Linked DNA regions of Saccharomyces cerevisiae S288C. Changing the gene in region 1 together with any one later gene gives a genetic interaction. Each region holds a gene or a part of one and is shown on either strand. Other genes may lie near its edges.

Evidence for each region. Genes that interact genetically often act in the same process or in processes that back each other up.
Region 2: mutations in FMT1 (region 1) and DPI8 together harm fitness more than expected from each alone (negative genetic interaction), as found in Saccharomyces cerevisiae (one large-scale study listed by BioGRID).
Region 3: mutations in FMT1 (region 1) and TFB5 together harm fitness more than expected from each alone (negative genetic interaction), as found in Saccharomyces cerevisiae (one large-scale study listed by BioGRID).

The regions. Positions count from the first base shown.
Region 1 is NC_001134.8:200,086-203,761, forward strand, and holds FMT1 (methionyl-tRNA formyltransferase), read left to right. Parts: upstream 1-1,970; coding exon 1,971-3,176; downstream 3,177-3,676. Other genes in the region: RRN6 (Rrn6p), read right to left, coding at 1-1,663; bifunctional glycerol-3-phosphate/glycerone-phosphate O-acyltransferase SCT1, read left to right, coding at 3,453-3,676. UniProt on the Saccharomyces cerevisiae protein: Formylates methionyl-tRNA in mitochondria and the cytoplasm. Responsible for the formylation of the 8 N-terminally formylated (Nt-formylated) mitochondrial matrix proteins that are encoded by mitochondrial DNA.
Region 2 is NC_001142.9:159,123-161,801, reverse strand, and holds DPI8 (Dpi8p), read left to right. Parts: upstream 1-1,954; coding exon 1,955-2,179; downstream 2,180-2,679. Other genes in the region: MRS3 (Fe(2+) transporter), read right to left, coding at 239-1,183; sphinganine kinase LCB3, read right to left, coding at 2,385-2,679.
Region 3 is NC_001136.10:603,093-605,608, forward strand, and holds TFB5 (TFIIH complex subunit TFB5), read right to left. Parts: upstream 720-2,516; coding exon 501-719; downstream 1-500. Other genes in the region: PET100 (Pet100p), read left to right, coding at 1-307; VPS41 (Vps41p), read left to right, coding at 916-2,516. UniProt on the Saccharomyces cerevisiae protein: Component of the general transcription and DNA repair factor IIH (TFIIH) core complex, which is involved in general and transcription-coupled nucleotide excision repair (NER) of damaged DNA and, when complexed to TFIIK, in RNA transcription by RNA polymerase II.

The DNA.
Region 1 (3,676 bases):
TGTTTGATAAAGCATAGTAATAAACCTCGGATGAGTTCCTTAGTTTGACTAAAAAATCTACAACTAACTCAAAATTTTCATCTGCATCCTCCTCTCTCCGAGATTCATCGTCTATATGATCCAGTGTTAAGATTGTCTCTATACCGGTGGGGGTCCCACCCGGAATTTCAAGAACTGTTGAGCATCCTAAGGATTGAAACAAGTTTGCTTTCCTATGGGAAAATACATGCATATAGATGCGTTTATGCCGCATCGAATATACAAAGGCCACCAGAAGAATATGGTCAGGCTTTTTAACCTTTTGTACAGTGATTCTGAGCGTAGTATCATCTGGATCCAGATCGTGTTTCCAAGATATTCTTCTCACTGGATCATTTGATTCTGATGCCCCTACGATGATTATTTCCCTTGAAGTGAGTAAAATACCATTTTTATCATCTATCCGCTTATAATCACGTATGTTTGACCATGCTTTCGCTTGTACTACTTCCGTTTGCCAATTGTTCATAAAGTCGATCTCAATCATTTTGGACCTATCAAAGACCAGTATTTTTTGGAAGTGTGAAAACCATTCTATTCTTTTCCATGACGATAATTCTTCTGGATCAAAAATCGTACCGTGGAGGTTATCTATTAACTGTAGTTTCCTTTTGTTATTATTATTGAAATTCTTTGGTATCCTCCCGATACTCCAGTTACCTTTTATATCAATGATTGCGAATTGTTGTAAGTCCCAAGGATTGAATGCAAAATCTACCACCTGAAGGTCGTCTATTTCAACAAAATACAGTGGTTCTGAACTACTAACCATGACATCACATGATCTTGAGTGGACACTTTCAATTCTAAAGATTTGGAAAGAATTTTCGGTGATTATGCCCACCAGGTTTGATCTCCGCCCGATGGACTCAGAGGCCCCCGGTATCTTAATACTCTTGATAGGTGAATGCAATTCGATACTCGTTACATTGTTATGTCGGTTTAAATGCAATGTATTTTGTCGTGTCAGAACTGCTATATTTAGGACTGAGCCTGTTTTACCCGAGGCATATGCTATGATTTCGGTTCCGTCTCTATAATTTCTTAAATCTGATGCTGTCTGAATATATTGAGAGTCCAGTCGATTAGCCACAGTAGGATCCCAAAAGAAGGCGTCTTGCATCGGCCTCGAAGAGTTAGTACTTTCTTGTAATGTATCATCTAAGTTGCGCAGCAAATCTGAAGGAATGTAATCTTGAAATGAAACTGGCGTATCGCAGTTCACACCAAACATAGAATCATTACCAACGTCAACTTTCTTAAAAAAATGGACATCTTTCGGTACCACGGGTATCACTGGATTGACCACTATAGATGTATCCCCCTGATTGTCCGTATCTTCATCAATATCGCTAGTTATGAGATCATCGTCGGCATCTGATTCTTGCAAAACCTTGTCGTCGGAAATATATCTTATGGCAGTATCACAAAGCAGACTTTTGACCACTATATGAAGGTCTAGTGCATCCTCGGCCAATGTATCATCTACTGGTCTTAGCCATTGTGGCTTTTCTTGCTTCTTCGTAGTGTAATTTTCTTGCGGACAGTAAAGACTGGCGCCTTGTACACCAACACCCAATTGCGAGCCTAACACATCTGAGCTTGGAATTTGTCCCTCACTCATGCTCAGCCCATAGAACGCCTTCTCTCTTTACTTCAACTTGCCACATCAATATCATTACCAAACTAATATGAAAGCTCATCTCGGTTTCTTAATCGAGAGAATAAAAATTATCGTATGCCCACAGGGTAACCCATATTTATATCAAATGGAAGAAGCGTCCATTAAGAAAAAAGCAAAAAAAGCTGTACCTGCTATTATGGAGAGGAGTAAGCGCTTTTCTCATTAACGTAAAAAGAGAGGTAAGAAAAAAAAGGAAGGGGACCTAGGCACCTCATAGTGAGAAGATTGAAAACGGCGTATCAAACAAATGGTTAAAATGAGAAGAATAACACCTACACGCCTCCTATTCACATGCAGATATATTTCAAACAATGCTTCTCCACCAGTGCAGCCCTTGAATGTGCTTTTCTTTGGTAGCGACACTTTCAGTAATTTCTCATTGCAAGCACTCAATGAGTTGCGTCAAAATAATGGAAGCTGTGGTATAGTGGACAATATTCAAGTAGTAACTAGGTCGCCGAAGTGGTGCGGTAGACAGAAGTCTATTTTGAAATACCCGCCGATCTTCGATATGGCAGAGAAGCTTCAATTGCCACGCCCAATTACATGCGACACCAAGCAGGAAATGTTGGCGCTAAGCAAACTGACACCCAGTCGCCAAGGAAATCCGGAGAACGACGGCTCCGGTGCTCCGTTCAACGCGATCATTGCGGTTTCTTTTGGGAAGCTCATTCCGGGTGACTTGATCCGCGCGGTGCCATTGGCGCTAAACGTCCATCCTTCGCTACTTCCCAGACATAAAGGCAGTGCACCTATCCAGCGAGCTCTGCTCGAGGGTGACACTTACACCGGTGTAACTATACAGACACTGCATCCGGATCGGTTTGACCATGGTGCAATTGTAGCGCAGACGGAGCCACTGGCGATCGCAACAATGCTGTCAAAAGGGAGAGTCAATGATTCGACGGCAGATTTTAATTCTGAGGGCCTGCCTCGGAGGACTGCCATACTGATGGACCAGTTGGGCGCCCTTGGCGCCCAACTTTTGGGCCAAACGCTTCGTGAGAGGTTATATCTACCACAGAACCGTGTGCAAGCGCCAACAGCTTACAAACCCAGTTACGCCCACCGTATAACAACAGAAGATAAACGCATTCATTGGGCGCGCGATTCTGCCGCCGAACTACTTAACAAACTCGAAACGCTCGGTCCTCTGCACGCGTTCAAAGAAGCGACAGCGGCAAGAAAGGACGCTCAAAATTCAGTATTAAAACGAATATTGTTTCATGAGTGTAAAGTGATGAGAGACGCACGTCTAGATAATGGCAGTAAACCGGGCATGTTCAAATATGATGATATTAAAGACTGTATTTTGGTCACCTGTCGCGGCAACTTACTACTATGTGTGAGCCGCCTCCAGTTCGAAGGTTTCGCCGTAGAACGTGCTGGCCAGTTCATGGCGCGCCTGCGGAAAAGATGCGGCGCCCTGAGTGAAAAGTTAGTTTTCCTGTAACCCGGCTCTACATTCCTCTTTTAGTATTCTTCTTCTCCCTTCTTTCAATCCCTCATCCATCGGTCTCTCAACAACTATGGCTGCCAAGCCCTACGCGCTATGAAGAAAAAGAAAAGTAGGCCCGCCTTCTTTCCCAGTTGCAGTTTATTTATGATTCGGAAAGATTGATGTTAGTAATGGCTTGTAGTTCATAACAGAGTGAATTAAGTGTAGGAAGCCCGGAATTAAATATATAGTAAAAAGAGCACAGGGGCGTTTACATCGGGGTAAAAAAAAATGCCTGCACCAAAACTCACGGAGAAATTTGCCTCTTCCAAGAGCACACAGAAAACTACGAATTACAGTTCCATCGAGGCCAAAAGCGTCAAGACGTCGGCTGATCAGGCATACATCTACCAAGAGCCTAGCGCTACCAAGAAGATACTTTACTCCATCGCCACATGGCTGTTGTACAACATCTTCCACTGCTTCTTTAGAGAAATCAGAGGCCGGGGCAGTTT
Region 2 (2,679 bases), on another chromosome or scaffold:
TAAATAATGGCAGCTTGCCTGCGTCCGAAATACCCTTTGGGTATACTAAACATAGATATATAAAGTAATGAAGAAAAAATGAAAACTTTTCGTTGAGGGAAAGAGCTCAAGCTTTGGGATTATCAAATTAAATTTGTATATATAAATGTACATAAAGTCACAACAGGAAAATGATAATATACACATAATCTTCTGAGATGCAAAATGAATGGAAAATAATATGACATGTAAGAACCAACTAATACGTCATTAGGAAATGTTTTGCACATTCATAAGCTGTCCATGATATAGCAGTAGCCGGCATGTTTGCCACTATCCTTGGTTTCCAACCTCTCCAAAACCCTTTCCAGCCATAAACTTGATATATGGCACTGGCTGCTTTACTAAAAGTATCCGCCTTTCTCATAATTTCCAACGAAACTGTTTGACTGCCCCTTATCTGCAGTACTGTCTTTATGCAGTCTAAAGGTGTTGTGATCGCCGCACATGTCGATCCGCTGATACTGCCACACAGACAATGTATGAGGGGGTTGTACTCATTTGATGGGTTTAAAAATTTTGTGGATGATTCATATATGACGAAATTAAATGCTGCAAATGGGATGTTCATTACTAGGGTGGTTGGGTAAGAATAATAAAATGCTGCCAAACCTTCAGATTGGTAAATCTGCTTTGTGGTTTGCCATACTGATGCCGAGGTATTGAGTTGGATTCTCTGTTTTATTGTGTCGAATGGGTTCATTAATGCGTCAGATGCCGTGGTGGCACAGGCACCACTGATAGCTGTCTTAAAAGGATGGTGCGTTTGCGTATCACTCGAATCGATAAGATTTTTTTTGCAGAACTCATACGTACCAAAATACACTGCATGCGCAGGTCCCGCACCTAGTATGACAGACTGAACACCCTTCCATAGGGCTAGAGTTCCTTCGGAAGTAGAGATGTGAGATATTTGCGAAAGCATATTCTTGGCAGACAGCGATTTCGCGTTGGCTGATTGTATTCGCGTCTTAAGGGCATCTATCGGGAACATCACTGAATGTTCCATTATACCAGCAAATGCACCCGCTATAAGTTGATGGTACAATGGCGCGTGGGTGGGGAGCGCCTCATAATCGGGTAGATCCATAGGTATTGCTGGAATTGGCCTTGTTGAATTATTACTCGACGAGTTTTCTACCATAATATCTTCTTTTTTTATAACATAAATATATTTACAGCAAACCTTAAGAGGTGTTAACGAATATGGGAATCGTGATTAATTAAGTGAAGTTACGATCCCAAGATAAAATAAGGAAGTTGTTGAAAGAGGAAAGAATCGATGAAGAAATGAACGACAAAATTACTTTTGTCAATTGTAGGGTACGAAACACCAAGAAATGCAATAAGTGCTATGTAAAGGTGATCCAGTCTTGGTTAGCACACACGCCCAGTTTCTCGAGAGACATAATGACAGTAAACGGTGAGTATAAAAAAAAAGCAAAAAAAAAAGAAAAAAGGAGCAATCGTTCGTTACAAACGATCTAGACTTGATGAAAAAAAACCCTAAAATGTCTCAGACCTAAAACAAAACCCTAAGAAGCACGTGATACAAACCTGTCACGTGCAACATTATGGGGTATGGGTGTGTCACACATTTGAAAAAAAGTGGGCGGAACGTGTGTGGGGGGGTGTCATGCCATTTCCACATTTGGTTGCTCTGGAGATAAGATCCACGAATGAAGGTGAGGGGCATGACTTCAGGGATCAATTTCCCGCCCGCAAGTTAGTTTTTCCGGTGGGAGCCGAGCATCAAGCATGACCACTTCCTGGTGCAGAGAGAAAGTTTCACACATATAAAAGAATAAACCGAAAGTAATGTAGGGAGATGTTTAATGTGATTTTTCACCTTTGTTTTAATGATTACGCACAAGTTTAAATATTACATTCATAAGACAGTAAATAAACGTATTAAATGATCGCCCAAAGTACCAGATTAGCCGCCGCCGTCTCTTCTTCAGCCGCCTCCGCGGGTGTCTCAAGGATAGCCGCTAGCGCCATGGCCAGCACTATTTTCAAGAGATCTCCGGGCAACTCGTTCAACTCTTTTAAGGAATATAGAGAAAATGCCAAGACATATGGTCCCTTGAGTGCCTCACTAGCTACCAGAAGACACTTGGCTCACGCGCCAAAGTTGTAGGCGTATCTTAATTATGCTCTTTTCTTTCCTGGTTTATTAATGATGATGACTTTAACCTATTCTTCTTTTGGGGTCCTGGTACGGTGCCTCAAATTTTTATACAACATGACTTTTTCAGTTACATATTTTTTTATAAGTACTTAATTTAGAAACGGATACATTTACACTACATTTTGTCTATTTTTTTTTTTTTGTTCCTTTTGTTTTATGCTATATTTAAGAGGGAAAATAGGACGGGGCTGCACATTACAACGGTGAATGGAACGCCAGCATAGATAATAAATCTACCTAGAATGTCAATCTTGGGCTCTCCAATATATAATGGACATTCGTACTTGCTTGCACCTTCTTTGTGCGTGGCCTCCAGTCTTTTTCTTGCCGCAACGTTTCTGTCATCCTTCAGATGGAAAACTTTGATCAATAACGTGTAGATCATCGGTTTGCTGATCACGTACTTCCAGATAACAACGCACGGTAGGCCCACCAGCAGCCTGGCTAAG
Region 3 (2,516 bases), on another chromosome or scaffold:
ATATACAAGGGCGCAACTGGAGATCTTTAGATTTTCATTTTGTTTGCTAGCACCTGTTGCTGTAATGTACTATATTGGTACAGATACTGATAAAAAATTAAATGTTCCAGGGTTTTGGCCAGATCCTGCAACGTTGAACCAAATACCAAAAGAGCCTTATGAGATTAAAGCTGAACTGGCAAGGATGAAAAAAGAACGTTTAGAGAAAAGGCTTAGGTTGGAGAAAAAGATACAAGAGGAGTTTGGTTTAGACCTTGAGGAGGAAAAAGAAAAAATTAAACGGGATTTGGCTCTCAAAAAAGGATGAGAAAAGAAAACGGTTAAAGATGTATACTTGCACCTGACCACTTTTTCTTCCTTATATTTATTATTCTAACATGTACATACCTGTATAGTCGTATTTCCACTAGATCATCACTTCCCCTCTATATTCATGTCTGACCTGGTTATGCAGGTCATGCTCTATTCAAATAGTATTGAAAAAGCTGAATGAGCAATAATTACTGATTTTCTTCTTCATCCATAGGATTATATATATTCTTAGATAATAGCCTATTTAGCTCATGCTTAACAAATTCGACTTTCGAGGGATTTACTAAAAGATGGGTGTCATCCAACTCCTCTAGTACTATATCACTCATCTTGGCGTCAATTTGTAATATGAGCGCCTTGATGGATGGATCACATTGAACCAGTGCACCCTTTCTTGCTCTAGCCATTTTTTCGTTCTTTTACAAAAGTATCTTGGCTTTGTCTCTATTGGGAGTACACTTCTATCTTACTGCAGTTTGCTCGTCTTTTTTCAATAATACGATACAAAAGAAAAATTAAAAGGGCTATTGAGACTGTTGTAAAATATATATGCAAAATAAAAAAGCATTTTAACGAAGAGTATATACCTACTATTAGACATTAATGACTACAGATAATCATCAGAATGATTCTGTTTTGGATCAACAATCAGGCGAACGAACAATTGATGAGAGTAATTCCATCTCTGACGAGAATAATGTTGATAATAAGAGGGAAGACGTTAATGTAACTTCACCAACAAAAAGTGTTAGTTGCATATCACAAGCGGAAAATGGAGTAGCTTCTCGAACAGATGAGAGTACAATAACAGGAAGTGCGACGGATGCAGAAACAGGTGATGATGATGATGATGATGATGATGACGATGATGAAGATGAGGATGACGAAGATGAGCCCCCCTTATTGAAGTACACACGAATTAGTCAACTCCCGAAGAACTTTTTTCAACGAGACTCGATCTCTTCATGTTTATTTGGTGATACTTTTTTTGCATTTGGTACACACTCAGGCATTCTACACTTAACTACATGCGCGTTCGAACCCATTAAAACCATCAAATGCCATAGATCTTCGATACTTTGTATTAACACTGACGGAAAATATTTTGCTACGGGATCTATTGACGGGACAGTGATTATCGGATCGATGGATGATCCACAAAACATTACACAATACGATTTCAAAAGACCTATAAACTCTGTAGCGTTGCACTCAAATTTTCAAGCATCCAGAATGTTTGTTTCTGGTGGAATGGCTGGCGACGTTGTACTATCTCAGAGAAATTGGCTAGGAAATAGAATCGACATCGTTTTAAACAAGAAGAAAAAGAAAAAAACAAGAAAAGATGACCTATCCTCTGATATGAAGGGCCCTATCATGGGAATTTATACTATGGGTGACCTTATATTATGGATGGATGATGATGGAATAACATTTTGCGATGTTCCTACAAGATCACAGCTTTTGAATATTCCATTCCCCTCCAGAATTTTTAACGTACAGGATGTAAGGCCAGATCTATTTAGACCCCATGTTCATTTTTTAGAAAGTGATCGTGTCGTTATCGGATGGGGATCTAATATTTGGCTATTTAAAGTTTCCTTTACCAAGGATTCAAATTCGATCAAATCCGGTGACTCTAATTCTCAAAGTAATAATATGAGTCATTTTAACCCTACGACAAACATCGGATCTCTCTTGTCTAGTGCTGCATCGAGTTTTAGAGGGACACCTGATAAGAAAGTTGAATTAGAATGCCATTTTACTGTGTCAATGTTGATTACAGGGCTTGCATCGTTTAAGGATGATCAGTTATTATGCCTAGGTTTTGATATAGATATTGAAGAGGAAGCAACCATAGATGAAGATATGAAGGAGGGGAAGAATTTTAGCAAGCGGCCAGAAAACTTATTAGCCAAAGGGAATGCTCCAGAATTAAAAATTGTTGATCTTTTTAATGGTGATGAAATCTATAATGATGAAGTTATCATGAAAAACTATGAAAAATTGTCTATAAATGATTATCACCTCGGTAAACATATAGATAAAACAACACCAGAATACTATTTGATAAGTTCCAACGATGCCATCAGGGTTCAAGAGTTATCATTGAAGGATCATTTCGATTGGTTTATGGAAAGAAAGCAATATTATAAAGCTTGGAAAATCGGTAAATATGTAATTGGATCAGAAGAGAGGTTTAG